Rhinolophus ferrumequinum: one gene and its partners. The main gene of each other region encodes a partner of the protein of the gene in region 4 in a complex. Links are inferred from orthologs where the notes say so. Each region holds a gene or a part of one and is shown on either strand. Other genes may lie near its edges.

The links.
Region 1: the proteins of G3BP1 (region 4) and CAPRIN1 are in contact, whole or in part, in a crystal structure (PDB 8TH7), measured with the Homo sapiens proteins. The link is inferred for Rhinolophus ferrumequinum from reciprocal best matches to the Homo sapiens genes G3BP1 and CAPRIN1. Residues at the interface, in NP_005745.1 of Homo sapiens: Glu4, Lys5, Pro6, Ser7, Leu10, Val11, Glu14, Phe15, Arg17, Gln18, Thr21, Leu22, Met29, His31, Arg32, Phe33, Tyr34, Gly35, Lys36, Gln58, Lys59, His62, Leu114, Glu117, Asn122, Lys123, Phe124, Tyr125; in NP_005889.3 of Homo sapiens: Met363, Gln365, Met366, Gln367, Gly368, Pro369, Tyr370, Asn371, Phe372, Ile373, Gln374, Asp375, Ser376, Met377, Leu378.
Region 2: G3BP1 (region 4) and IGF2BP1 share a complex: the UniProt entries of both Homo sapiens proteins name them as parts of the TAU mRNP complex. The link is inferred for Rhinolophus ferrumequinum from reciprocal best matches to the Homo sapiens genes G3BP1 and IGF2BP1.
Region 3: G3BP1 (region 4) and ELAVL4 share a complex: the UniProt entries of both Homo sapiens proteins name them as parts of the TAU mRNP complex. The link is inferred for Rhinolophus ferrumequinum from reciprocal best matches to the Homo sapiens genes G3BP1 and ELAVL4.

What each region holds. Positions count from the first base shown.
Region 1 is NC_046294.1:23,801,687-23,808,745, forward strand, and holds the start of CAPRIN1 (caprin-1), read right to left. Parts: upstream 3,002-7,059; 5' UTR 2,784-3,001; intron 2,205-2,783; coding exon 1,989-2,204; intron 1-1,988. UniProt on the Homo sapiens protein: mRNA-binding protein that acts as a regulator of mRNAs transport, translation and/or stability, and which is involved in neurogenesis, synaptic plasticity in neurons and cell proliferation and migration in multiple cell types.
Region 2 is NC_046304.1:34,183,712-34,191,585, forward strand, and holds the start of IGF2BP1 (insulin-like growth factor 2 mRNA-binding protein 1), read right to left. Parts: upstream 3,012-7,874; 5' UTR 2,696-3,011; coding exon 2,521-2,695; intron 1,316-2,520; coding exon 1,255-1,315; intron 1-1,254. UniProt on the Homo sapiens protein: RNA-binding factor that recruits target transcripts to cytoplasmic protein-RNA complexes (mRNPs). This transcript 'caging' into mRNPs allows mRNA transport and transient storage.
Region 3 is NC_046292.1:35,737,898-35,745,607, reverse strand, and holds the start of ELAVL4 (ELAV-like protein 4), read right to left. Parts: upstream 3,008-7,710; 5' UTR 2,979-3,007; coding exon 2,862-2,978; intron 351-2,861; exon of another isoform or gene 66-350; coding exon of another isoform or gene 57-65; intron 1-56. UniProt on the Homo sapiens protein: RNA-binding protein that is involved in the post-transcriptional regulation of mRNAs. Plays a role in the regulation of mRNA stability, alternative splicing and translation.
Region 4 is NC_046307.1:23,502,091-23,509,269, forward strand, and holds the start of G3BP1 (ras GTPase-activating protein-binding protein 1), read left to right. Parts: upstream 1-4,162; 5' UTR 4,163-4,204; coding exon 4,205-4,306; intron 4,307-7,179. UniProt on the Homo sapiens protein: Protein involved in various processes, such as stress granule formation and innate immunity. Plays an essential role in stress granule formation.

The DNA of each region.
Region 1 (7,059 bases), on a different chromosome or scaffold from region 4:
TAAAATATAAATGTCTAATTAAAATGTCTATACCTAAAATGTTACATCATTAATATTTATCTTCTGATTCCTATCCTAGGAGAAAACAGATTTCCTAGGAATTCTGAAAGTTAAACCATTCAAGCATCAACAAGATTGACAGGTTTATTGCATTAGATTTTTTTTAAATGATACTTAACTTTCAATTTCATATAGAGTAGTAAAAACTAAATTAGATGGCAGACTCAGGAGATAGTGGTGTTGGCTAAATTTATTCTATTACATATGTGAATGTAGCTACTCCACAATTAAAATACTTTTGTTGCCTTGTTGATACTGATACATCTATTATTTAAATCACTTATAATAAACCACACTTGTTTATCAAAATAAAGGATCAGAAAAAAGGTAGAAATCCACAGAGAGCGTCTCTCAATTTCAAATAAAGTCCAGGAAATTCAAGTAAAATTCCCAATACAGAAGCAGATGAGACAGAGAAGCATCCAATCTAAAAAAAACTCCAAAAAAATGTAAAATTAATCATTAAATGAGCAATTCAAATAATTAAGATCTAAACATCAACCGTTTCCTTCAAGTTATTTCCCACAGCCCAAAATTTTAGCCAAACAGTTACCACCCCAAAATCTTAAGTAATACTATTAGATGGAAATATTTTTAAATGACTTCCTCCAAAATTCAAGATGTAGTATGTTTTACTAGCAGCGGACAAGCAGAAGTTATCAAATGAAAGTTATTATTTTTCTTTTTAAGGTAAGAGACAAAAGTTTGCATAATAGTCGCTGATACAATTACCTCATTTGTGATTTGTTTCTCCTTTTCCACCTCCAATCTTACTGAAGGTTGAATTGCTCAGCCAAGACCCTTTTTCTACACATACATACATACACACACATACACACGTGTCCCTCGAAAACAGAGTTGATACACTGTCCTGGGCTGAAAGCATAAAACAAAAGGCCAACTTGAAGACAAACCTCATGAGGTGACCTAGAATGGCTAAATATTTAATCCAAAATATTGTGGGTGTGGCTCGATTTTTTTTTTTTGATTTTTTTTTTGGAGGGGGGCGAGGGAAGCCAGTCCTGGCGGCTGCCTGCTATCTGCCCTCCCCCTCTGCTTTCGCTTTGTGCTCACAATGCAGCTCCTGTAAAGCGCTTCCCTCTCCCCGCAGCCGCCGCCATGTTAGTCGCTCTCTCCATGTGCCCAGAAACCCAGCGATCGCCCTCGGTCTAACCCAGACCCACCCCCCAGTGAATCTCAATCGGTGCAGTCTCCCTCCCATCCGTCTTTTGGTCCTCAGGGGACAAAAAGCCGCTGAAGAAAACCTTCTTGGGATCGAGGTGAGCGTGAGGCTCAGAAGACAGCTAGACAATTGAAACAAAGAAGGAAACGGAGGGGAGACCATCAAATGCGGGGAGCAAATCGAAGACCGACTCGAATGGCGCTTTATAGAGAAGCAATTCTAGTTTAAGATCCTAAACACATTTCTTTCCCAAGGGAGAGGAGAGAGGCACTGAACAGGCCTCAAGTGCACGGTAACGGAGGGGACAAACCCCACGGCTAGAGGACGTAGGCCGCCCCAGCTCCACGAGGCACCCCGTTGAGCCCTGAGCCCCTACAGCAGGACCTCGTTTCTCCCCGCTGGCCCGAGTCAAAGAACTCGTGCCTTGGTAACGGAGAGAAGGCATCACACTGAAATCTGGCGACAGGACAGGTCCCCACCCTTACACATCCCACTCCAAAAGGCCAAAAGGCCTGGCCCACAGCAGGGGGACAGTAATCAAGAGGACCGGGGGGGGGGGGGGGCAGCGCCGCGTCCGGGTCAGGTGACAAGCACCTCCCCTAGGAGCCCGTTTTCTGGGCACGAAGCTCGGTTTACTGTGGACACCGAACGTGGGGGGGGAGGGGAAGCGCCGGAGGCCGAAACAGTGAAGGCTACAGGCAGTGTCATAACAGCAAACCCTTCCTTCCCCGCCAACTCCTGGCACCTTTTTCTTCTCCAGGTTCCGAAGTTTCTTGTCGATCACCCCGAGAATCTGCTTCATGGCCTCAGTCTGGACAGCGCCGGTGCCGGTTGCGGGGTGCTGAGATGCCGGCGCAGCGGCCCCGGCCCCCGCCGCCACCTCACTCCCGGAGGAACCCGACGGGGGTGGCGGTCCGGACGACTTGCTGCCGCTTCCGCTGTGGCTGGTGGCCGAGGGCATCTTTAGACCGTAAGGGGAGAGAAGAAAAAAGCGGGAGAAAGGACAAGAGCGGCGAGTCAGGCGGCGGACGGAGCGAGACGCGGGACAAAACGCGCAGCGGGCGGGAGCCTGAGCGAGCGGGTGGGGGTGGGGGTGAGGCCGCGCGCGCCGCGAGGACAGGAAGGGACGGCCGGCGCGCTCGCGACCCGCCAGCGGGGCGCCCGGCCCGGCCTCGCGCCGCCCCCCGCCCCGCCCCTCCCCCGCGAGGGCCACCGGTTTGGCCTACCCGCCCCAGGGCACCGAGGCTCGCGCCGGGGGCGGGGCTTCGCTGCGCCGGCCAACGGCCAGTGCAACGGTTTCCACCAGGGAGGGCCTGTAGGTACTGTCGCCTTCCAGGGAAGGGAGGAAAGAGAGAGGTCGGGGCTTAAGAGGCAGAGGAGGGTGGAGAAGGGCACTGGAAATGACCGCAGGGGACGGGGTGGGATGGGGAGAGACTTGAGGAGCAAGCCCCTCGCAAAGGTCCAGCCGATCCGGAGGTAAAGGACTCTCGGGGCAGCAGCCCTCTTCCCGTTCAGCGCCTCGGTCCGGGGTGGCGCTCACCGTGCGCACGCGGAGGCTGCTGGAGATCCCGAGTGGGCGACTGAGGGGGCAAGGGTGGCGGTACGTTCCGTGGGCGCAGGCCGCTTCGCCCTGTCCCCGCTGCACCGAGAGCCGCTGCTAGTGAGGCGGAGAGCCGGGAGCGGGAGGGACTTAGCCAGCCAGCACTCTGGGGCAGAGGGGGTGGAGGAAGCAGCGGGCGGGGACCTTCGCGGCTTCTCGGGCTGCCCGGCGCGAACGCCTGTGGGAAAGGGCTCTCTCGGCCTCCTACCCACCTTGCCCAAGCCCCCGCCGTTGGGCGCTGCCGCTCGGCGCAGGTCGGAACAGCCCCGGGGAAGCTGCCTGAGCGGTGCCTGGAGTTTTCAACGAAGTCGAAGCTAGGGTCCTTCAGGCAAAATTGCTTGGCGTCCAAACGGGGACAATAGGTGTCAAACAGCTGGATCTGAAGCTGAAGACTGCCTTGTGTAGAAGGAGGGGCAAAGGTTTCTGCAAGCAAGGGGTGCGTGGTGTGGGTGGTGCAATCCCAGCTCTTAGAATTTCTTCTGTATGCAGAGCAAGCAAGCCCCCACATCCCAAAAGGTCTTTTGAAAAAAGACAACTTCCCCCACAAAACAATCACCCAGTAACCTAGGAGTTCGCTGTAGAACGCGTTGGAAATGAGCAAGATGGGTGGCTTTATAAAAGACTTAAAACTCCAGACTCCTTAAAAATAATCGTCAACTGCCTTAAGAAGATATTTATCCAAAAGGCCTGAGTATTTCGAATGAGAAGTTTTTCTTTTAGATTTACCTAAAACTTTTAAGAAAATGTTGAGTGAAATACAAAACATTTTTTTTCCTCCAAGAGAATTATTCCAGCCTTGTAATTAACCCAGGGGCAGGGTGGTTGTGGGTGTGGACAATGAACACAAAATAAGACGCCAAGTGCTGGAAGGAAATGTATAAAGAGGAATATAATCAGTGGAAATTCAGTAATATAATGTATGACAAAAGTAAATGACCGATTTATAACTTAAATTCCATGAAAAAGGAATTTAGAAGAGGATTCTACCAAACCCACTGTTCCTTGGAGAATAAAATGAGTAATGCTAGCTGGCAACAGTGTGTCTTGAGGGAACCTAAAGAAACAACTGTAGCCTCAAGATATTTCAGTTAGCTGCAAAATCTGTTATCAATTCATTTAAATATTTATTGAGCACCTTACTCTGTTAAAAAAACTCTTTAGTGCTAGGGATTGTGAACAAAATATCTTCATGGATTTTACATTCCACGTGGAGAGAAGTAAATACATGTCAGATAGTGAAGTGGTAGAGACAATAAAACAGGGTGGTCAGGAAAAACCTTACCGAGTGACACTTGAGCTAAGACTGAAAGAAGTGAGGAAGAATTTTCCAGGTAGAGGGACCACCAAGTGCCAGGATCTGAGAGGAGAGTGTTCTTGGTGAGTTCAAGGAACAGAAAGGAGGCAACAGTGGCTAGAACAGAGTACTAGGAGACATCAAAGACATAAAAGAGGGCCAAGTCTTGTCAAGCCTGATAGGCCATTGTAATTTGCTGAGTGAAATGGGGAATCACTGCATGCATAGTTTTAAGCAGAGGAGTAACCTGTGATGAACCTGTGTTTTAAAATATCCTCTTGCTACTGTATAAAGAATTTATAGTAAGTGTGTATCAAAGGTGAGATGTAGGGTGGAGCAACAGCAGGCCTGGGAGGCCAATTTGGAGGCTGTTGAAATAATACAGCCCAGAGATAGTGGTGGCCAACGTCAGGGTGTTACCGTAAAGGTGGTGACAGGTAGCTGGATACTTTATATGTTGTGACAGTAGAACCAACAGAATTTGCTAACCAGTTGTATGTTAGGTGTGAGAGAAGTCAAAGTTGACCTAAGATTATTCAAGATTTAAGCACCTGAACTGTGCTTAGCACTATACTGAACCCTATGCAAACCTCGAAGCTAAAAAGGACGGTCAGAATCCTTTAGCTCCTCGAAACTTTTGGTGTACTCAGCCTGTTATCACTATCAAAATCTCAGGCCGCACCCCAGACCTACTGAATCTGCATTTTAATAAGTTCCTCAGTTGATTTATATGTACCCTGAAGTTGGGGGGGGGAAGGAGGAGGGAAATCACTCATTCCTTAGAACTTGACCAGTGTCTTTAAGATCAGACGTGAAATTCTCTAGCTCGCAAATTCTCTCCCCACCTACAAAATCAAACTGGGGGTGTTGTGTAGCCCAGCAATCTGTGTGTTAAGCCAGCCAGGGATTCTGATGCATGCTGAAGTGTGGGAACCAATGACTTGGAAGCTTCTGATGATACAGGTTTGAACCGAAGAGGGCTTATGATAAGGTGTGAGAGAGAAGGAAAGGCCTCTTCTGCCTTTCCTTGGCACATTATGCAGTGGCAGTTACAAAGCATAGAGATTCATGGTCAGCTAAGTTGGACGTTTCAAGAAAGTAAATTGTTGAGAGGGAGCAGAGCAGGATCGATGACAACACAGATAACCAAGAATCTCATTTGGGGGTCCATCTCACAGCTCACAGTATATCAAGATAGGCTAGGTTATGCTGCAGTAACAATCTTGAAAGCTCTGTGACTTAGATTTGCAAACTAGTCCCTGGGCCAAGTGCCCTCCGTTTTTGTAAGTTTTTTTGGGATACAGGCACATCCATTCATGTACATATTATGGCCATTTTCGTGCCACAGGAGAGCAGAATTGAGTAGTTAACAGAATGATGTGCAAAACCTAAAATACTGTCTCATTCTTTACAGAAGTTTGCCAATCCCTAGCTTAAAACAAATGATACATATCCGTCATGGTTCAGCAGAGGGCTCTGGTCATAGTGGTCTCTCAGTACATTCAGGTTGATGGAGAAACCATACCTCGTGTTGCCGATTACTATGCCATAAGGAAAAAAACTCCAGAGTACCTGGAATAGTCAAATACTACACACAGGTCAGCTTGTGTCATGTGTGCTTACTCCTCATTGGCCAGGAAGAGTCACATGACCCCCATCAACTGGAGAGATGCTATTCTAATCAGATGCCTGGTAGGAAGCCAGCTGAACCAGAAATATTTAGTAAACATACATACCTATCATGCTGTCACCTCCTACGTCATCCCAATTCCATTCCCTTGCTGTTCTGACATTCTTGTAATTGTTTGTTCAGGTCAGCAAGTCCAGTAACACCACTAGATTGAAGACAAAGCAACGTTTTGCCCAGCCTAATGCCACAGTCCCAGCAAACCAAATTTGTCTATTTCCTACCTGACAAAAAGGGGACTGAAGCTGTATTTATGTAAATTTTTAATACTTGACTGTCTTTTTTAAACCTTTTTTTTCTAATCCAAAGCCCTGTAGTACTTGGGGTTATTATATTACTGAAGAAATAGAAAAATTATAGTTTCCCCAGCAAGCCAGTGAGAGAGCAGGATATGTCTATAAACAGAAAACACTTTCTCCAAAAACCTTGGTGTTAAAGTTATACCCAATATTAATATATTTTAATAACACAAATCTCCCCCAAGCTGACATTCACTTTTTTAATTCATTAGACAACAGCAATCTGAAGTCTCCACAGTCAAGTGAAGTGAATAATTGAACTGCTTATCCGGATCATTTTGGCAAAACAGTTCAGCTGCTTCAACTTGAATCACCCAATAAGCTAATACCAAGCTTATTTGTAGCAAAAGAAGGGAACTTTCACCTAAATTACATGAACTGCCTTTCTGCATCAGAGTGGCAAAAACCTGGCCTATATGTGAACTACGTACACTGTTCACACAGCTAAGACTCTTGTTTTTCAGTTATTTTACAACTCAGTAGTAAACATTTCTATCATAATTTTTCCAGTGCTCCCTTTTTTATGGTAATGTCATAATTTATGTGTTTATGAGCCACCATCAGACTGAGCTTTTCAAGGGGAAAAAAACAGCTGTTTTGTTTGCATCTCTGTATCATCAGAAGCAATAATATGCCTGGCACAAATGTTTCGTCAATACTGCCTATATTTACATAACTGTGGGATTATTATTATTATTGGTCCATACTGACTCTTTCCCTTTTACATTGTGGTTATCAGCTGAGGTAACATTCTTTTCCAGTTATATTTTCTTATGTCCACCTTAATTATAACATTATGCTTAGAAATACGCTTCCTATTTTGTAGAGGTACAATATGTCCAGAATAGTTGTGGGGACAGAGTCCCAGAGAGCAGTTTCCAGGCTCTCGGCCTCACGTGGAAAGGTGCTGGCTCAGTTATTAGATGGCCCTCAGCT
Region 2 (7,874 bases), on a different chromosome or scaffold from region 4:
ATATTGATCATCTATAGATACAATAGTTCCAAGTTAAACATCTCAAGCTAAACCACAGAACAAATAGATTTAGATTTTTCCTCCTGTTAAACTTTCTAGATCCTCTTAACTGCCTCCAAAAGGCACAGCCACCCACCTCCACCTTCCCACTCAGAAAAGCCAAGGACTGTTCTGAAATGCAGCAAGTTTCCAGTTGAAATGAGGGGAGTAGGGGAGTGAGAGAATCAAAGATTTACTGGGGGCTGCAACGTGAGAGGAAAGTGCACTGTCAACACATTTAAAGTCAGATTTCAGAAAGCAGAAATACTCTGCCCTTATACTTCCCAGCCAGAGTTCAATGAAAAGATTTGAAATCCACCATGAATTAGATTTGGGGATATGACAGAGGTACCCCACTTTGCTGAAGTGAGGATAGTACTGGCACACGGAGACAGAGAGAGACACACAAACACACACACACACACACACACACACACACACACACACACACACACACACACACACACCCACTCATCTAGGAAGTTCTAGACCCTCCAAAGAGCCCCAGCTCACAGCCTGAACACAAAGCTCTCACCCCAGATGGTCCCCTTGTAACAATGGACTGAAAGGGGGTGGGGGCTCAGAAAGGATAGTACAGCCAAAGCATATTCTTTGCAAAATCCAGTTGGGAGGGGAGGATGTGGGATATGAGGGGCTGGGGGTAGGAGTCTGAAAATACTAGTGTCCTTGCCTGTTGCAGAAATATTATGTAAATAAAACACAAGCATAAGAGAATTCTTTTGGGAGCAGGAACTCATTCTACCTCCCCAAGGGAGTCAAAGGGGACCCCCCACATCCACTTAAAAATTATGATAAGGGAAGGGTGGGAAGAAACAGAAAATCAGAAAATGAGGCCTGCTAGGAAGTTGCAAAAATGTCCATGAGTCTAAACTCTTGGAGACTTTTAGCTTCCCCACAAAAATGGCCCCTCACACTTCAATCAAACTCCACAAGGCTTCTCCCCTATTTTTTCCCAGTTTACTTTTCCAAGTAAGATTTCTTAGCCCACCCCAGGCCCAGCTTATTTTTTTTTACAAGCTGTAAACCACCCATTACAAGATCTTAGCCAATCTTCCCTCCCTGCCCCCAACATCCGGAGTTGGGGGTGGGAAGGCCAGAAATGGGTTTCTTCCACTGGAGACACTATGGACCCCAGGACACAGCCTCTTAGGGCCCCCAGGCTGTCCCCCTCCCCAGAGAAGAGCTCTTTCCTACCTTTGTTTTTTGGGGACGGAGTGTTCAATCTCTAGGCGTTTTCCTTGCAGTTCTACTTTCCCTAAAGATTAAAAAGGGGGGGGGCAATATAAGAGCTTGAACAGGGGTGGGGAGCGGGAAAAGGAAGGAGAAAGACATTAGGGTAATTCAGGAGTTACTGGGATTTGAGACCTTCCTAGGAATCCAGGCAGTGGATTTCGCAGCCGGATGCGAAAAGGTCGCTCTGAGAATGGTGGAGTCTGTAAACTCATTATTGTGTTTTCTTAATTTTTATTTTGTTCTGTTGCCTCACTGGGGCTAATTGGGTCATGGATCGCTCTGGGAGCTGGATTTGGGAGGAGTGTGAGGACGTCTGTGTGGGCGGGTTGCCTACACGGCTCCCAGATGTGGGGAGAAGGGCCGAGAAAGGGCCCCTGTTTCTCCCAAAGTGTGTTGGGTGTGGGGGTACTAAACGAAACTATTTTTCCGTCAAGCCAAAGAAGAGGGCTTCGGGCGACCTGGCGGTCACCTGTCGGGCCGGTCGGGAGGTGAAGCCCTGGGGAGCGAAGCCCGGACCGCTGGGAGGGTCCCTGGCGGCCGCGGCGCGCGCCTCCCCGCCCAGCCTCGCGTCTCGGGAAGCAGCATGGCGACCCGCCGCCGCTGCCACCGCGCCACCCGCTCACGCCCCACTTTCAAATCAAAATGGCTCAACCTACAGGGCCTGGGCGGGAAGCGGGACCCCCTCTCTCAAGTCGGGCCCGAAGGCTGCAGTCCCCACGGAAACCCGGGAGATAGCAAATGAAGTGGGGCCCCCTTCCCTGCCTGGAAAGGCCTAAGGCGAAGGAAGGGTAGCCAGGGGTGCTCATGGGGTGGAGAAGGCGTCCAGGCGCGGATGGCGAGGGGCCGACGTGAAAATAACGCCCAGACGGGGGTCGCCTCAGTGGCGCCCCCCCATTACTGCCACTGGGGCTCCCGCCCCTTCGGGAGGGGTCACGGGACGACCCTACTAAAGCCTCCAGAGACTGGGAGGAAGGGGTGAGGAAACGCCGAATATTTCCACGGCGCGGTAGGGGTGAGGGAGTGGGGGTAGGCATGAAAGAGTGGGGGTAGGGATGGAGAGTGGGGTAGGGTGGGGGCGTCGAAGGAGGTGGGTGATGGGTGGGTCCTGAAGCCAAGCCCCGCAGGCCGGTGGGAGAGCACAGTTGGCGGGCACGGAAAAGAGAAGCGCAGGTCTCCGTTGTTCGGGGATTTCGTCGTGGTTTCTCGGGGAGGTGGGAGCACTCTTACCCGAGAAAGTTTCGATGGCCTTCATCGCCCAGTGCTCGTCGGGGCAGTCCACGAAAGCATAGCCGGATTTGACCAAGAACTGGCCGCTGTAGGAGATCTTGTGCTCCGCAAACACTTTCTCCAAGTCGGCGGGGGTCACGCTCTCGTTTAGGTTGCCGATGTAAAGCTTGTTCATGGTGGCGGGTTCGGGGCGGGACGCGGTCCCTAGCAAGGCCGAGCGAGAGGGCGGGGGCGGGCGCGGGCGGAGAGCCTCCTAGGCCAAGAGGCGGGCGGGCGGCCGGCGGCGACAGCCGCAAACTTTCTTTGCACCCCACCCCTGAAGTTGTCCGGAGCCGGGGGCGCGAAGGGCGGCCAGAGGGCGCGCAGAGGTCGCGGAGGAGTTCGAGAGGCCCGGGAGAAGTGCCCGCGGCGCGCTGGGAGGTGGACGACGCGGCACTGCTTCTTTCCTTCTGTCCGAAACCCCTCTGAGCGGGCTGGTGTGTCACGTTTCTCCGCGGCCGCCCTGGCGCCGCCTCTAAATAAAATCGACTTGAAAAAAAAAAAAAATGGAGCGGAAAAAAAAAAAAAGGCGAAGCCACGTGGTGAAAGCCCCCACCCACCCTGCAGGGGAAGACCCCCGACGCCTCCGGAACCTTAGGCCCTCCAGCCCGGCCCAGCCCACCAATCTCCCGCCGGAGGTGGGGGGCACTCAACTCACCCCCTGAGTCAACTGGGCGGCGGGTGGGGGGCTGCGTTCCCGAAGCTTCACTTGCCCCCTCCCCCTTTGCATGAATCTGGCCCCTAGGGAGGCGCCCCGCCCCCACTCATCCTCATACCCCAGCCCTGGCTGGGGGAGGGTGGTCGGGCCCAGAATCTCCCACCTCTTTATGGATAAAATGTACGGTTATTTTTTTATTCCTGTGGTGGGTGGGGGGGTTTGCCCACCCTACCATGGTTAACTGCTAGCGACTGACAGGCGGGGGACGGCGGAGATAGACAAAGAGAAGCCGAGGACTCTGGGGTCTTCAGGAGGGGGTCGCGCGAACCAGCGATTTAGAAAGAAAGGCGCCTTTTCCTGGATTTTTAAGTGGGGGGGGGGGTCTCGGCCTTCCCTGCCCCAGCCCTGGGAGACTCCCTCGCCTCCGGGAACCCAGGACCGAGGGTCCCTGAAAGCGCGGGACCGGGAGGCTGGGAACACGGGGGATCGCGGTTGGGAACGAGGGATCCACAGGAAATCAGGTTTCGGGATTCCCACGGGCGAAAGAAATTAACACCCAAGGTTCCACTGCTGAACGAAAAGGTTTTGGGGTCCTGGGGGAACCGGTGGCTCCGGCCCAGGAAGACCCCGCGAGAGGGAAGGGTGGAGAGAAGGACAAGGAGTGGTAGCGTGAGCAGACCCGGGCGAACCGAAGGGATAGGTCTCAGCGAGGGAGTGACCGGGTGGAGATCCGAATGGTCCCCTTCTCCCGCCCCGACGCGGGGACGGACAGGTGGAGTCCCCTCCGCCCGCTCCACCCAGGACAGCGACAGCAGCTTTCCCCGCGTTGGGTTGGGGTCTCGGAACTTTGTTTGGGGCGCAGGATCGGAATCCAGGCGGGAAGGCGGGAGAGGAGCCAAGAGCAGGGGGCCGAGCGCTAAGCCCCGCCCCCGTCCCCAGGTCAGACCCGCGGGGGGAGGGGGTAGTTTCCGCTCGGCGCTAGGGAAGCGAGGGGCGGGAGCTTAGAGGAGGGGGCGGTGGTCCGCCCCCCGCCTGTTCCTGGGGAGGGGAAGCGGATCCGCCCAGGTCCCTTCCCTCGCCTTTGACCAACTCGTTCCGGATCCTCCGGCCCGGAGAGCCCGAGGGACGAACCCGACTGGGCAAGGGGCGACACGTGGGCGGTCGCACCCCGTCTCGGCGGTGGGGGAGGGGGCAGTTCGCCGCGCGTTTCGGAGTCCAGGATACGCGGCAGAGAACGGGATCTGCGTTCCACGCGCCACCGGGATCCTGGGCCGGGGGACCAGCCAGGCCGACGAGTTTCCAGCGCCTGGGGCTGGGACGGCGCCAGGGGGTGTCGGAGAGCGCGACCCGGGGACCCTGGAGCCCCTTTGGCCAGGGAACCAGGGAAAGAGGGGGTGGACCCTCAGTATTGCCAGAAGCTCCCTGAACTAGGCGGAAGCTCGGGTTTTCCTCCGGGTTCTGCGGGAGGGAGAAAGCTTTCTGTCGGGGGCACGCGAGCTGCGAGGGCAGGTGAGAAAGGGGGTCACTCTCCCTTTCCCGGTCCCCGACCCCATTGTCTCAGTCGCCTGCGGCCCGAGCCGACTCTGCAACACGTGTTGGCTGCACCGATATGAATGCCTTGGGTTTTTTTCTTATTTGTTTGCAGAGTCAGTGAGTTGACTCCGACTTGGGAGCACCGCTCTTCTGCCAGACGATTCTATACCGTTCGAAAAGTCGGGAGTTAAAAGACGACATGCCGCACCTTTGTCCCCCTCCCGGTTTTCCCCGCGCGCTGCAAAGAAATGGGTTTGGGCGTAGGGGCGGGGGAGGGCTTCCGACTCGGTGTCTCCGTCTCCACCACCTTCAAAACCGACCCTCCAAATCCGCGTTTTGTTCTAGCCAGCCACGTGTTTGTCGCATTTTTGTTTGCGATCTTTTTCTTTCCATGGGGCAACAGAAATTAAAATACTACATGCTATTAGTTGCTAAGAGGAAAAAGTCTATCCAAGAAGGTGGGCGACATCTGTATCCCACCCCCCACTCCGACCCTCCCCTGTTTCTATGAGCTCTTGACCATAAACATAATTTTAAATCCAACGAGCTGGAATCGGTACCTGCCACATAGTAGGCATTCAATAAACATTTTGTAAATGAAAACGAGCTAATACAAACTGCAGAGCAAATTGAATTCAGAGGAAAATTAAGAGTCAAGGGGAAAAAATTATCTTGGCCAGAATGTGTGGGTCTGTTGCCTGGGGACTTTTCTTGGTGTTGTGTGTGGACTTTTGAAAGGGCTAAAAGATAGTCTCAGAAAGGCTGTTGTATTCCTTGGCCTTTCCCTAAATAGGAGCCCCACTCTCCTTCAATCTTTTCTGCTATATTGGGGAACAAGAAAGATTGTACTAGGCAGGGCGTTCCATTCCCAGAAACTTGACGTGCTATTTCCTTCATTTAATTTAAATCTTAAGGAATTAATAGAAGCACCTCTCAGGTTTTCTCCCTGGGGGACATAACCACTACTCTATCTCTTCATTCCTAAAACAAAAACATGTTACACCGCACAAAAATCTACATCCAGACCTCTAAAATGCAGTCCACCTTTGCCTATCTTAGAATCAAAGGGAAACAAAATTTTTTAAAGTAATAATTGAATTCAGTTCACTTTTAGGTTGATTTTTTTTCCATTTAAAAATATGTAAGCCTAAATGTGAACTGGAATTAGTTTATAAAAATGACTGTGGAGAAGAAAATGTAAATGTATAAAATTAAAATTTTACCAACCATTGCTAAATTGAAACTGATGCGTTTTAAAAATCAGCTGTTTCACTGAATTCTAATCCACCCCCCCTCCCCCACCAAGGGCTTCTGTGTATAGTCAGAGGCTGCAAGAACACAAGAGAGAGGAGACAGCTGGGGTGAGATGCAGACCTTTTCAGCCCCCAAATCAGTTTTGTCTCAGTGACCTGGCTATTTTAGGCTGGAGTTGGGGGGACTGAGTGATGGTGATTGGTGCTTCAACTCTCCCTTCTGAGTGAGCCCAGCACTAAAATTAACCTGAGAGAAGGGTTATTTTTCTCAAGACTCACATTCCTAGGTTAGGGATAGGAATGAGCAGACTTAGGACCCCATGATTAATCATCCTTTTTTTTTAATTACGGATAACTAATAAACATTGCATTTGTTTTCAATTTTTTTTTTTCTACACAGCTTCTTTGGGAAAAATTAATCAGTTAAATTTAGTTTGTAAGAGTTAAAAATACAGCTGCAGGATACATTGTTTTCTTTAATAATAATTTATGTAATTAATATTATTATCAATTATTAATTATTATGCTATACTTCTTGTTCTCTTTCATTTTTCCTGGAGACTTGTTTGGTCTAGTTGCAGAATTGAATTTTCCTCTGAATTCAGAAACCCTGAACCTTGACTCCATTTTAAAGATGGGATTCTGATCCATTTTCCTTCAATGTGAATATACAAACACACGCAGAGAGACAAAAACATTTAAGAGAATGAAATAACATTTTTAATTGGAAATATAAAGTGGAAAAAATCAACAATTCCACCAGTCATAAAAATTCACTTTTATTTTTTAAATGTTTCTTTCCAATATTTGTCGATTTGTAATATTTTCTATTTTGTCTACTTATTTTTATATCTTAATTTTTTCCTTGCTGTTGTACCATAAGCATTTTCCCATGCTGCCTCAAAGTTTTCATAACTATCATTTTTAACAAACATGTAGCATTCATTTCAGGAGGTGTAAGTTAATCATTGTTATTTTAAAATATATGTTACATCAAATTTTTTACTTTTCTGAGTGGAACTGAATAGATTTGGGGGGCATATAACTTTTTCCTTTTAGATTAGCTCCTATGGATAAATCCCCAGAATATATATTGCATTTCAAATCTAACATTTATCAATGACTTTCTATTTTAAAAGTTTAGCCTGTTTTACAAAAGAAAGGACACAAAACAATTGGTAAGCAGTTAGAAGGGAAATACATTAAAATTGAATTTTTTCTATTTTTCTAATGAACCATAATTTTTAAATGAAATTATAGTTTCTATAAAATATACAAAAATAAAAATTATCATTTCCTGAGAACTGTTCTGACTTCAAAGTTTTAAGAGGAATTTGTTTTTTGTTTGCTTGGTTTTTATTTTGTTGTTTGCTTGTTTTTTTCATTGTTGTTGCCCTGGGATATTTTGTTTCTTCCTGCAACTTGAAGTTTTAATGTGGTTCTTTTAGATGACTATAAATTTTGAAAAACTGTAAAATAGTCAAAATTTAAAAGCACATGTAGCATTTTCTCCTGTCAAATAAATAAGGATAATTATGTGCCTAAGATAACCCATAAAATATAAGAAAATTATAAGCAGCAGAAAAGGACAACTTCCTCTTTCAAAGTATCATTCAAAAGTGTTTAATGTTTAAAATCTTACAAAGAAATGTGTGTATTCCAGAAATAGAAGAGGTTCAAGGAGAAAAAAGAACTTTAAGAACAATCATTTGTTTTTCTATGGGTCACACAGTGTGTGTGACAAAACTGCTCAATTTTTTTGTTTTGGCTTAGGTTTGCAAGGTAGAAATTTTTAGATAATAAAAGGAGTAGTTTATTTTATAAACTTTAAAAAAATGGATGTTTCCAAATTAAGTTTGTTAGTAAATTAA
Region 3 (7,710 bases), on a different chromosome or scaffold from region 4:
TGCTTTTCTTCCCTCCAGCAACACAAACAACAGATTATAAATCTAGTCATACCTACCATAACCATTCTTATTGGCAAATATTGGGTCTCGCAGAGCTTCGACTCTTCTCTTAAAATTTGCAAGGTTTCGGAATATATATTTTTAAATGAGTACTATTATATATTTTTAAAGATCCACAAAACACAGTGTGGATGGTTGTAAAGTAAATCAACTATTTTGGGGGGATGAGGGGGAGAGAGAAAAAAAAAAAGAAAGAAAAGGAGCACTGAGCTGAAACCCCCGATTCTAGGATGTAGATAAGAACAACTGAACAGAGCCTTGCTGAAATTGGCTCGAAGCTTCCCCTTTTTACATCCATTTATGGGACCATCTGTCAGCCAAAGCCAAGATCTGATTGGCTGGGGAAACGAAGGGAGGCGTTGCAACATCAGGTGCTATTTAAATTAGCTACTGCCAGATTGACGATGTTAATGATTTGGTGACCTCTACAACAACAGAGACCAGATTTCTGAACTGCTTCTTGTGTCTGGTAATTAAGGCCAGGCTGAAGCAACAACAGCCATACTTGTATTTTTACCTCTTCCCTCCTCCCAGCTCAAAAGTACTATAACAACTGCAGGTCACTGGTGGCTTGCAAATCTTAACAGTGGGAGTGTCCTCCGTTTTCCCTGTCCAGAGGGCTGCACCACCCCAGCCCTCTGACAGAGGGCTTTTCCCAACTAGAATATTTTCAACCACCTCATCTTTCTCGATGGTTGCTTTCTAGCGAAATGCATATTTAATGATCTGCCTCTAGGCTTAAAGATACAACAAAAGCACTTTAATGTGCTAATACATCCACATTTTAACTTTATTATTTCCCAATATTGCTGATTTTTAGTAAGTTATGCTCGTCCTGCAGCTAACATGGACAGTGTTTCAAAAGAAAGCAAGTTTGAGATTGTGCTTGCTCCGGGAACTAGGTTCATACAAGTTTGCTTCAGAAAACTATTTCCTAATAAACAAAAAAGAAAAAAGCTGGTGGGGGGAGGAGGAGGGCAGCTGTCAGCCTCTACCTTTCTGTCGTCTGTCTAAGCTTTTCAAAACAGAGAATGATGAATGATTTATTTAAATGAACTTATTTCTCAACTTGGATAGTGGCATGATCTGAATTTTTAAAAATCCACCAAAACACATTCTCTCTTTGCTTTCCCTACTGCTCTAGAGAAAGGTATAACATGCTTTTGACACAGCCTCATTTCATAACCAGTGCAGAGTGCTCATCTTGCTTAACTGAACACGTGATTTTGCTTCTGTCCTTCAAACGATGTCTTTCTTCTTTGGCCTCCTAAAAGACTTGCATGGAGACATTTAGCAAGTGTGTGGTGATGTATACAGTCTGTGTATGCTATACATTTCATAACCTCTACTCTACCAAGTCTTTGATTATACAGTTTTTTGTTCTGGTTTCAGTTTTTTAAGTGGCTTACCTGAGGCGTTTGTGCTTTACTTCTATCCAAAAAGCTAACTTATCACTATTTATATAATTCATAACTTAATCAATTTGTTCCTCAATAAATACACAGAGGTAACAAATATTACTAAAGACATAATTCAACATAATCTTTAATCTTTGGCTGGAGTTGACAGTGAGATGGGACTAAGCAAAGTAGAAATACAGGCCAAAAACCATGCTACACTCTGGGCTTCAAAGTCCAAGAATAAATGGGTCTGTGAAAAATTATTAGAAAAGAAAATAACTTTTGCATTTCTAAAAATTAAAACTATGCTCTACAAGCATGGACACATACATACACATATGTACACACACTTTTTAAAATACAGATACACCACAAAACAATATGTGTGAGGTACACTATATGAACTATTAGATTTGAATACAAATAAACTCAGATATTAGAAACAAAAACACAGGAAATATAAAAGTGGAAATATTAAGACTATATAAATTCCTTTAAGTGGAACAATACTAAATTAAGTAAACTTTTAAAATAATTTCTTTAGTAAATGTATAGAGTCCTGTGAGTCACAACAGTACTATAATATCTATTGAACTGTGTACTAAGGATGAATTCCCAGGTTAAGTGTGCTCAAGAGCTTAACATACGCACACAGGGCAGGTACAGGTGCTCAAAATCAACAACAGAAACTCTGAATGTGATTTCACCAACATCAAAATATTGTGAAAAGTAAACATGAACACAATGCTGACAAACACAAATAAAAACAGCTGGCTTGGATTTTCACTTTGTATTTAATTTGTATTTCTCTGGAGGTTATAAAAGTCACAATTTTTTTAAATTCTTTTCTCCTATCCATACTAACCTCAGCCCACTCGGTAAGACATAAATTAACAGGTATACCAAAAGATACTCTGGCCACTTTTCCAAAATAGGAACTGCATATTACAGTATAAATAATTAGCTGGTTTTGCTAGGCTAAAAAAATCCATGTACTTTGTATATTGATCACTTCTCCCAAAACCTCCACTCTAAAGTCTTTCAACAGAATCCTCAGACAAATGCACAAATGTCCTCAGAGGCCTTTTCTCTAAAGACAAAGGCAGAATCCTATTGTTGGGAAAAGTCAACCTTATTATTGCATTTCCAATAGTACCATTCATCTTTCAGAGTGAGGGGCTGACCGCTACATCAGTGGTGTGACATTTGTAAAGCAACAGATTCTCAATATATTATCTCAAAAATCAGGCAGGCGAGTCTCCCAGTCATGCATGATTTTTTTTTTTCCGCCACAATCCTCTACCACCACAGAAAGAAACTTGTCTCACTCAAGCAGCGAAGGCAACCTAAAAATGATATCCCAGAGCTATGGGGCTGCCAGTGCCGCTGTATCCCTCTTACCATAAATGAGCAGTTTCTTGACTCATTAATAACAATTTCCCTTAAAAGAAGTAATCTCATATCAGTCAGCCCCTCGCCACCATGCACACATCCCAAAGGTTGCAGATATCTCAGCATCAGTCGCCGGCAGCCAGCTTTCCCACACAGAGTCCAGATGGACTGTACCAGAAGCCAATTCAGCGTTAATAACTACCTACTCCACGCAGTGGAGAAGCCTTACAGGGCACAATGGGCTAGGAAACAGCAGCCGGCTGAAACTGCAAATAAAAAAGACAACCAAATTTTCCAAAAGCACCGAAAGGAAGGAACAGAAATGGAAGCGTGAATTGTATTTCCTTGACTTCCATGAGGGAAAAAAAAAAAAAAGGAATAGAAAAAAAGAGAATCCTTCATAAACACGGGGGGAGAAATGAAGCGAAGGAAAAGAAAGGAAAAAAAAAACAAAAACAGATGCTGCCCAGAAAAAAGTGACAAAATATTACCTCATTATTTAACAAAGCAGCATTAAGCGTCCTGCTGATTTCAAACATCTTGCCACAGATTTTGTTTTAAGAGAAACAGATAGAATCCTTTGCAAAGCACTCCGTCTGCAAAGGGTTCTTCAATTTTCTTGCGCGCCACGGAACAGTCAATATATTATTTCCCTAGAGTTTGCACATTAAAACCTCTAGTCAGTGAGCTGAATTTTCCCCTTATCTCACACACAGTAGACTCCTGTTATATGTACTGCTCTCTTTGCAAGAGCAGCCTGCCCCAAACATGGCTGGTGTTTAAACTACTCTTTAAAGTAACAGTTCACTATATAACCACCAGGTGGGTAGAGTGCACAGATTCAAATGAACCATCTTAAAAGACTGATTTTTGTTCCCCCTTGGAATAGCTTTTGGGTATAGGATGTGACATGAGAAACGCCAGCATCCTAACAGGCATCTTGTCATGTCTCTTTCTCTGTATGTTGTCAAAATAAATAAATAAAATTTCTTCTCCTGACTTATAGCAACAAAACAACAAAACAAAATACCATCATCAATTCTATAATAATAATAAGAACTGTGCAGAATGAAACACAAACAAGCTTTGTTTCATTCAGCAAAGGATGAACAAGGAAAAATCCAACCAACACAGAGTAAGGGGGGATACCAAAAACTCCACAGGAATATTTTCCTTTAGCAAAAACAGAGAAATATTGACTCATGTGATAAAAACTCAATTCAAAAATATGCATATGGACGAAGCACATACAAAATGGAGGCAAGAGTGTAACTTTTCTTCTGAGCAAAACATTAAGTTTATTTGATATGGTCTTTCATGATAGGAAATAACCAAACGCTTAAGAGTAAAGACACTGAAAAACAAATACAAAAACAAATCTTAAGCATCTCTTTTAAAAACACAATTATACAAATAGTTATAAACAACCAGAAGAGTAAACTAATCACATATTTCTCCCCAGTGCTGTTCTTTTCCCCCTAGTGCTGATCTGCTTTGAAGTGGAACATTTCTTTCGTATACTATTTTGGATGTATAGCTAACTTGGTGTCTCCTTTGTATTATTCTATTCCAATTAATCTGCTCTTCTGCCAGGAATAAATAGAAGGTCCCAAGCTGAAAGCCCTAAGTGATGGACGGGGATGCTAAAAGATTAAGAACCACCTGAACAAAAATAAATCTCATCACTTATTTTGTTACAAGGCCTGATTTTTAAGGAGAATTTTATTACTCACAGAGCATGCAAGCACCATTCTACGTTTCCTCGTATCTAAAAGAGAAACCAATGCATACAGATACCTGGGATTTTGCTTTCTTGGCTGAACAAAATTAAAGCCCTGGAATTTCCACATCCTCTTGCAAACACGGATGTTGAGATTAGTATTTTTCCAGCCTATCCAAGCAACATTTAGCCACACACAACAGTGACTGTCTCCTTCATCTTTAAGTCAAGGCTGAATCACTTAATACCATTTAACCTCCTCGCATATATTAAGTTTCAAGTGACAGTTTTTAACTGGGGAGTGAGAAGGAGGAGTTGCTCACATCAAATTCTGGTTGTATGCAATAAGCTAATTTGTACACTCACCATATGTCTTAAACACTAATTAAAAAATGTCACTTTCTTCAAACATTAAAATGTAATCAGCCTAGTAAATAAAATATTCTCAAGTTTTCTTGCCTTGGTGATAATTTAAAGAGTGTTTATCTCAAGGTAACCTCTCTGTTTTGATTACCAAGGAAGGTTTTTGATTTGAAAAGGGAGAAAAGGAGATACTGGGGGCTGGGGGTGGGGAGTAAAAAAAGAAAACCACAACTGAACGTAGCTGCATAAAGGAAAATAAGATGAAGCGGGTTTTTAAGGACCCATAGTCTTGCTACCCTAAGGCAAATCCAGCCAATCAATACCACCCATTGACGGTCTACCATCTGCCATGCTACCCAGAGATGTGGCTAAACAGACCTGTTCCATATGACTGTAGCCGGCTCATTTTCAGTCGATTAGGGCAGTTCCAGAGCATTCACATGCAATAGCACAAAACTCCAAGTCAGACTGAGCCTCTCTCTTCACACCAGTTCCTCTAAGCACAGCTGCAGACCTTCTCCTCCTGTTCTGGGTATCTGGATTACCTCTTCTTGCTCCTCAATTGAATTAGCAAAATGGGGTGGGAAGGTAGAGCAAACACACACACACACACACACACACACACACACACACACACACAGATAATTGCTGGTCCTTCTTCAGTGCCATGCACAGATCAGGAATTCCATGTGCTCTGCCCTAATATGATTATGGCACACAATTTAAATACTATGACCTGACATTTTCCTGTGGTTCAATTTCTTTTTATCCTCTCCTCTTCCTTTGAAAGATAAACCTAAACTGCTGGCATTTCTTCCTTTAGGGAAAATACAATCATCATGCCCAGAGAGTGGTATACCATATTTAAGAACTTTGGATAAAATTTAAATCATAATTTCCCTTTGGTGAATTGTGGTGCTGGTTTTGTCTTTTTTGTTTTCCTGTAGAAACATTAAATCAAATTTTATAGGAAAATGCAAACATACCCCAGAGACAAGAAAGATGCACCAGACTGACATGGAGTCTACTCGAAGGATTAGGGATTCACTGCTGAAGCACTCTTAGAGATAGATGACCTGACAGTGTGATGCCTTCCTCTTTCTTAAGTAGTTTTGCCTACTGTGGATTGTGGGAAAGAGCTAGAAGAATGCTACTGTGAGGGGGAAATGTAGACAAATGGCTGTCTAGTCCACTTAAATTGCCAAGAATTCACCTGTGCAGGTTAGCTAACCTAGGAGTCGTTCACACTTGATCTTCTTGCGTTTTTTTTTTTCCATACCACTACGCCTTATGCTAGAACAGCAGCTGAAAGCAGGTTTCTTTCCAGAATCAACATACCTTTGACCACAGTTGTAAAGCAATAGGGTGTCTTCCTGGGAAAGAAAATTTAAAGGATGGAAAAACTGACTTATTGTTAGTAAATTCTGAAAAAGGTAAATGCACACTTACTCAAGAAATCTAATTTCGGTGGAGTCCCTATCTGGACTTTCCCCTGACATAGCCTTCCTCAAAGCCCAAGAAAACTCAGCAGGGTCACTGTGTGACACACAGAGATTTCTGAAGATCCTTGCATGAAGGGATTTGGGGGGTCTTTCACTTCAGATGAGCTTTACTAAAATTTTTTTAAAAGAAAAGAAACAAACAAGGGACCCTAGTATAAATAAATCTTTACCAATCAAAGGTCACTGAGCAGATGAAGTGTGGAGTAGGTACTCATACCATTAAAGGATATAGTGTGAAACCAGCTTAATAATTTTGAAAATAATTTAATATAGAATTAAAAGAAATTCTGGACTCATTTATAATCTGTAACTACGAATAAAGAAATAGATGTATTGTAAAAAGCAAGGAAGGTTATTTGTAGAAGGAGGGAAATGTAAAGGGGAGGCGAGGAGAGGGAGGACAAGAAGAAATAAAGAAATAATAGGACTTACAAAGTGCAAATAAAAGCTGCTATCTTTTACCAGAAGTCTGCTGTATACCAAACACTGCACCAGGCACTTGACATGTACAATTTTATACAACTTCATGGTAGAGACAATTGTTATATCTAAGCATTTTTCTAGAAAGGTATCTTCCTTATCTAAAAGTGAGATCTTTCCCCATCATTTTGTGGAAGAATATTGTGTGGACAGAGTCCCGGAGAGCAGTTTCCAGGCTCTCGGCCTTGTGTGGGGAGGTGCTTACTTGGATAGTGGATGACCATCAACTGTGATTGGTTGGCCATCAGCTGAAACCGGTTAGCCAATTGGCTACTGATGTAACTGCGGGGCTGCGTTGATAGGTTGGTTGGTTGGCAGGCAGAGAAGTGAATGGCGGACTGCAGATCATGTGGCTATTACTGCGTGTGTCTGGCCTGGCCGCCAGAGAGAATATAGTGGTATGACTCCCCTACCTATGGCTCCGTGGGGGTTCCTTTTTGGCCTCGCCATATCCTGCGTTCTTATGTGGGTAGCGGGACCAGAGGCCCCGCAGGCCACCCTGCATGACAAATATGCTTAGTAAATATCTGTTGAATGAGTGAGGAAGATAGGCACAGATTAGAAGAGAAACGAAAGGGAGGACGGAAGACTCAATTTTTTTCTCAACTAAAAATGACCAAGAGACTTCTTTATGATGTTCTATCAACTAGGCATGTCCCCCAAAGTATCTCATTTAGTCTATCATTATGACCTGGCTGTAAATTTGGAGTGAGAGAGATACAGAGGATTAAAGCTGGAAAGCAAAACATCTTAGAAGGCAGGATCGAGTTCCCAGCCTCACTTCCTACTTCCT
Region 4 (7,179 bases):
AGGATACAGAATGGAAACGAAGCCTTTCTCCTACCCTGGCTCAAGTTCACGTCCCTGTTAGCAATTGGCAGTTGCATGTGACTCCTTCCAGATATAATCTGTGCAAGTACACCAAAACCATATAGGAATGTATATAGATAGCTATAGCAACACAATATATCTTTATAGAAATAATCACCCATGGCGTCCCTCCTCCCTTTTTAACTGTTTCCATTATTCTGCACTTTGCTTTCTTTATATATTGGTACCTCTTGGAGATCACTCTATAACCATACACATAGATCAGCCTCATTTTCTCTGACAGTCCACTGTATTGTTTTTAACCAGTCCCATATAGTTTGACAGCTGGGTTATTTCCTGTCTCTTTCTACTACAAGCCGTACTGCAATGAATATTATTGTACTAGGTCTTTGTCACAGGTGGGAGTTTAACAGGTCAAGATACGCATACATACAGGCACAGGTTTTTAATCACCCTTCATGAGTGATTAGCTATGTGTGGGAAACACTGATCCAGATGCTATCCTTAGGATCATTCCTTACCAAACATTTCTACCACCCTTCCATTGCCCCCCACCAAACTGTATTTCTGGAGTCTTACCCAGGTTTCTTCCCACCCTGATTCTCAGAGCTTTGGGGAGAATTGGCAGAAAGAGAGGGTGAAGTAGTGTACTGAAGGGGTTCGCACATTTTGCTTGGCAGTGGAGAGAAAGACCAGTAGGAGGCTGGGACTCTCCCTTAGATGCTAAGATAACTAGACCCGGCTTTCTCAGCCCCTGCCCTATTGACTTTTTAGCCAGATAATCCTTTGTCATGGGGAGGGGGGATCTCAGCTGCATCCCTGGCCAGTGTCCACTAGATGCTAGCAGCCCCTCTTACCCACTTGTGACAAGGCCACATATATGTCTCTTGGGGGCAAAATCTCCCTTGAGAAAGCAAGTGCTCCAGACAATTCACTGGTGGTAAATTACTCACTGAACATTTACTAAATATCCAGCGTCTGGGTCCTGAGGGTTTATGATCTGAGTGGGTAAACGACCACAGGAAGATGCCAACTTCTCTGTCCTGTGGAGACAGCAACAGCCACCTGAAGGATCTTGTTCACATTCTCCCTCTGGTAATTCATTCCTCTTTCCTTCCCTCCTTTCTTTCTACCTCCCATTACCCGGCGAACACAGTCTCGTTGTAAAACTTTCAAATAATACATTATTCTCATTGCTCCCAACCTAGGGGATTCCCTAGGAGGAATGACTATTGTTTTAAATTTAAAACCCTTCCTCTGCACTTAGATACCTATTTTAACATGCAGAAATCAGTTTTGTTTTTTTGGTTTCGTTTTTACTAATATGAATGGGAATTCACTGTATGTTTTGTTGAACTTGATTTTTTGTCAATTAACAATCCAGTTAACAATCTGTATAGTTTGTACCTCATTCTTTTTTCAACTGCTGCATAGTGTTCTGTATTACGTGCATATCACCAGTTAATCAGTTTGCAAATTGATGAGCAATTAACGTTTTCAGTATTTAAATATTCTAACAAAGCTGACAGTACTGTAATGAACGCCCTGGTACATGCCTCTTTGTAAAAAAAATGTGGCTATCAACCAAGAAATAGGACATACATAATTTTAATAGACTGCCAAATAGCCTTACAAAAAGCTGTAATCACTTACAATTTCCTCCAAATGTAATTAAGAATAGCTTTGACCCCTCCCCCACCGCAGGCCACCTGGGTTAAATTACTAATCTGTGAATTTAAAGTTTCTCCAATCTGCTCTGATTAGCGTTTCAATTTGGAGAGTCATCTTGTAAAATGCAAATTTCTTAGTCCATCTTTAAGAGACCTTTCAGGAGCTTTTTTCCACTGCTCTGAGAATAAAGTTCAAGTTCCTTAGCATGGCTAACACGATCCTTAAGTTTCCTTCCTTCAGAAAACCTTTTGCAGCTTCCTGGTCTGGACTGAGTTCTCTCCGGTGTGTTCAGTCCCACACACCTGTTCCCCGGTTTTGGGAGCTACCGGCCCAGCGCAGCGCCCGGTCTGTTGAATGGGTGACAGCGAGCAGGGACAGCGTCTTGCTCACCCCTGATCGCAGCCCTTGGATCTCAATAAATGCTGAAAGAGCGCGGCCGCTGCGGGAGTGGGGTCCGGGGAGGACGGGCGGGTAGAGGGACGCTTTCCCCGCGTTTCCGGGGCCAACGAGGAGAATAGGGATGAGCCCAGATGCCACCAGGCGGCTGCCCACACCCCTTCTTTCCCTACAAAGACGCTCCACGTGCTTCATTTCCAAATTTCTCAGCAAAACTTAACGGGAACCCCTCCCGCAGGGTCACATTCCTAGAATAAGAACTGACCGAGGCGTGTCTATGTATTTCCATATAAAATGCTCATGGTGACCAACAGAGGGCCCAAGAAAACACTGAGTGAGACGTGGACAGGACCAGGCTGGAGCGTCACTCAGCCCCCGAACTGTTTCGGGAAATCTTCAGGGTGTCCCTATAGGAGTTTGACAAGTTACCTTTTAAAGATGGGAACAACTTCAAGAAATAAGCCTCCACGCCCACAGCGATTAGAAAACTGAATGACAATGGTGGTGACGCACAGGATGTTGCATCGAGGCCCAAACTGATAGGACAACTTACAAACTACTGTCCCTCGGCAAAAACTAAAAGGGAAAACCTCAGTGAACATCCACCAGCCAACCTTCCGGTCGACCTGCAGCAGCAGCATTTGCCCAGAACCGCAGGGCAGAAATTTGTGTTCTCCAACTCAACAGTTTCACGTGCTACTTTTTACAAGATCTTAGGAACACAACAGGAGTTACTTTCTCCTTTGGCTTTCCCTTAACAGTTGCCCAACGATAGTGCTGACTAACGGTGAGAGCCAGCAAATGCCCTTAAGCATGGAAATAAAGTTAGCAGAAACAAACAAACAACGGGAAACTTTACCACTTGGTTTCCCTCGTATCAAACTGTGCAGAAAAGGCGGGACAGAGGCCTCAGCGGCCGAACCCAACCAGCGAGGGAACGCCAAGAGGAGAGCGGGGACCAGGAGAGCCTCAGACCCGCACCAGAGGGCACCGCGGCCCTGGGGCTCCGTCTCCTTGGTGCAGTCCAACCCTCGCGTCAATCAGCTCCTTCTCGCGTTGCGATTGGTCGGGGGCCTCCTTGGCCTCCCTGGCGCCCACCTCCTAGCTGCTTGGGGTTTACTTCCCCAAAGTACACGGGCCCCACCTTGTGGAGCAACCGCTCCTGCATTGGAAAACGGATCTCCGCCCAGGGGAAGACGTTTAAACGAATAGGAGCGGCCCCATGCATTTATTGGCTACTCTGGGTATCAGTTAAAGAACTTCCCACCCCCTTTTCCACTGTACCTTGAAGTAATTGGTCTCTCTCTGTGCCAATCTGTTACTAGGGAAACGAGATCCTCATAGTCTCATAGGCATGAGTCAAAGCCAATCAAGAGCCACGCCTTCATCCTGAGTCAGTGCCCAATTGCTGCTCGAGGAGCCCAGAGGACGCAGTCGGGATTGGTCATCAGCCTGCCCGACCTGGCCGCAACAAGTTAGGCTGAATGGCATATATATAGACCGGCGACGGAGCACGCGTGTGTGCGGACGCAGTTGCGTGAGGGGCTTTTGCCTTGTGTCGTTCTGTGGAGCAAAGCTTGTTCCTCCCCGGCTCAGCCGCGCAGGTACGCCGGGGTGTGGGCGGGGCGGGGCGGCCCTGGGTCGAGGACGAGCTGGGGCTGTTGTGAGAGGGAGAGGTCCGAGCGGCGCTCGCGCGAGGCGCGCCCTCGCCCTCCCCCCCCAACGGACGCAGGCGGCCGCACGGGCGCGCGGAGGCTCTCCGCCCCCCGGCGGGCGCGCGTGGCCGTGTCCGCCGCGTGCGCGTGCCGCGCCCAACGGCCACGTGGGGCGAGAGCGAGCTGCGGCCGCCGCCCCGGGCCCCAGGGCGATCTCGGGGGCCTGGGGCCCCGCGCGGCCGGTTGGCCAGCCTTTCCCGCTCGCTCCCCCACCCACGGGCCAGTTGAGTTTTTCCTCCCCGGCGTGGAGCTTTAGCTTGACCCGGACGAAAGAAGGTTTTTATGGGGGGGGGAGGGGGCCACACGAAAGTGCGATAAGAATTTTCGACCGGGGAAGTAGAAGTGTGGTTCCAGGGTTTTGCAGGCAGTGAAAGGGGGTGCAGCGAGTGCATGGGTAATGAATGATGATAATAACTCACATTTTTCGAAGCCCTTATTGTGTGCCAGGCATTGTGCTGGGCAACTTGTGTGCCTCTCATTTACTCCCACGACGACCCTGCAAGGTAGGTTCCCTCAGTTTACAGCGGACTCAGAGGCCCAGAGGTGGAGTGACATGGTCACAGGCAGACGGACGGTAAGGGGCAGGTATTTGTTTTAACCCAGGCCACCTGACTCCTAGTCCCCGAGCCTATTTTAGTCTTTGTTCCAGCGCCCTGTGCGGCCCTAGGGCACTTTGGCCCCCAGAGTACTCGTCCCAGGGGACAACATCAGCCTCTAAAGGCCAACTGCTGCGAAGACTGCAGTGGCATTTGTACTTGAGCCAGTTCATGGGCTTCCAGGGAGACGAGTTGGACGTGCGATTAAGACAAAGGAAAAGAAATGGTTTGGGCTTCCTTTGTACGTGTCTTCGCGTAGCTAGCTGACGGATGTGCTGCCCTAGAAGCTTCTGGATAAAGGACAGAATAAAAGGAATAAGTGCCAGTGAACACGGGCAGTGTTCCTCGTCCGATGTGCGACTCACAGCACGCTGATGGGAAATTCCCACCAGCAGGAAGTTAGGCGCTGCTGGTACTAGACCTTGAATCAGTTGTCTTCGTTTTTCCATCGGAGCCGACTTTTGAGAAAGCCCTTGGAGAACCTAGTTTAACTTCCTTGTTTTGTAGTTGAAGAAAATGAGGTTTCAGAGCAATGCGTTTCAGATCTCAGCAGCGTGTGTAGGTTAATGTTTGAAATTGGAATGGAAAGGCTAGTGCTCAGTTACAGTATAGAGCGGAGCTTATGGGAGGTGAATTACAGGTGGGTGATGGAGATGTGTTGGGAATCTTACCTTTCTGGCAGTGGGGTTGGTCTGTGGATGAATGCCTGTCTACGTTCAGTTCATTTATCTAGCATTTATTTACTCCTAGGCTCCTGTGTATGAGTGTATGGAAACGTGGAAGACACCTCCAAAGACTTGGGTTTATCTTTTTCTAGTAGAGTTACGTTTTAGATTTTTAAAAGCCAGTATACTCTTTGGCTTAATGAAAGAACAAAAAATGTTGCCGTGTTGCAGGCCCAGGTCATTACTTGACGTGACACATGTCTCTACTTGAGATAAAACTACAATGAAAGTTTTGGGACAAACTCTTCTGAATTAATTTTGATTGGAATGGCTTTCCACCTTTTAAAAAAAGGCATCTGTTTTGTTTGTACAAACGCTTTTTCGGATAGCTCTTGATTTACAGTCAGAGAACACAAAATTTAAAAACTGAGGAACCTTAATATGTGTTTCCATTTACTTAATAGTTTCCATGTTTAACAGAAAGTAACAAGAAAGGATTGAAATATTGTATAGACAAGTTCTTTACCTATAATAGGTGACAATGCTGTAAGAATATAACATTGTTTCACTTGAACTTGCCTTCCTGTAGCAATTTCAGTTACCTGCACTTAGACACCCCTTATCTATCGAATTAGAATTTTTAGTTATCAAATGTGAAAACATAATGATTACATTGAAACTCTTAACTTTGAGTCCAGCTAATTTTATTACTGCTTGAGGTAAAATGTATCACTGAAATTATCTTGTGCATTAATTGTGGGAAATTTTTATTTTGCCTTTCAAATGTTTCTTAAAAAAACCCAAAAACCCAAAAACTGTTCTTGGCCTCAAGCAAATACATGGTTATCAATTGAACAGGAATATGAAAACTGGTAGTTCACAAATTGGTAGCCCAGCTGATCTCTTCTTGTGCTTTCATTTATTAAGAACAAATGAATTGAAGCAAATTGTGATAATAAAAGACTTGGGTGCCTCCCTGCTCCCCAGCCAAGTTAGAGGTTACTTTTGTTGTTAAATCCTTTCAATCTAAGCTTTTGTACCTCTTCCAACTGGTAGAAAAGTAGGCAGTTCTTTGTTCTTTATTTAACTCACATTCACTTTGCTGTTCTCAGCTGACAGTCTGCTAGGGAACATCAGGAGATTGGTAATGTTTGTTGGTGACCTACTTTGCAGCAGTTTTTTGTAATTTACATTTTTTTTTTACTTGTTTTAGGGCTTTGCATAGAAAGTAAAAGGCAGAGATTAGTTTTAAATTATTATAGGTTTGTGAATTTTATGTGGTTCTTAGGAGGATGGATGGGGCAATGTTTAATTAAATGATGAAATTTAATACAAAGCCAGAATTTGTGATCTAAACCAGTTTTTAATTTTTTTTTGCCAGTTTAATAAAATTACCCATGTGATCTTCAACATTTTGCAGTTAGACTGGTTTTTAAAAAATAACATTTCAGAATGTAAATATGCATTGTATATTCATTTAATTGAACATAATGCTTTGGACAAAACTTGTTGACTTTACTGAGGGAGATAATTGTCAAAGTAGGTAGGTTAAAAAAACTGCTTTTTTTCCCACCCTCTGGCTAGTCAGTTGTTAACATCTAGTGGCAAAACCTTTAGTGCAAAGCAACACTGTCCTTCCAGCCATGGAGTTAAATTTAGATTCAGCAACTGTAATCTCACTTGTGGTTGCTGTTCACACTGTAACAGTTAACTAGATTTATGGTTTTACATCTCAATCAGCTTTCTGTTTACTCAAAAAAATTTTTTATTTTTAAGTACTCTTGGACACCCTGCCTCACCTTGGTTGGGAAAGCTAAATTGGAAGCCAGGTGAGAGATGGTGAAGAATGGGCTTTATAAAGTAGAAAGTAGATAATAAATATCTCTCATAGGCTGTGGCCTTAGTAAATAAGGTCTTTAGGTGACTACATGGGATGGATTTCCTCTTCTGTCCACGGCCCACGCGTCATATTTTATAATATTGCTTAGGTGTTAGCTTGTGTGCTATATTTCAGGTATTTAGTAAAAAGTAAATGTTAGAGATGGTTCAGAGGAAGAAAACTGGCTTTCTGGTTGGGACACACTTCTGTTTTGTAGGGATATTAATGTCAGCATC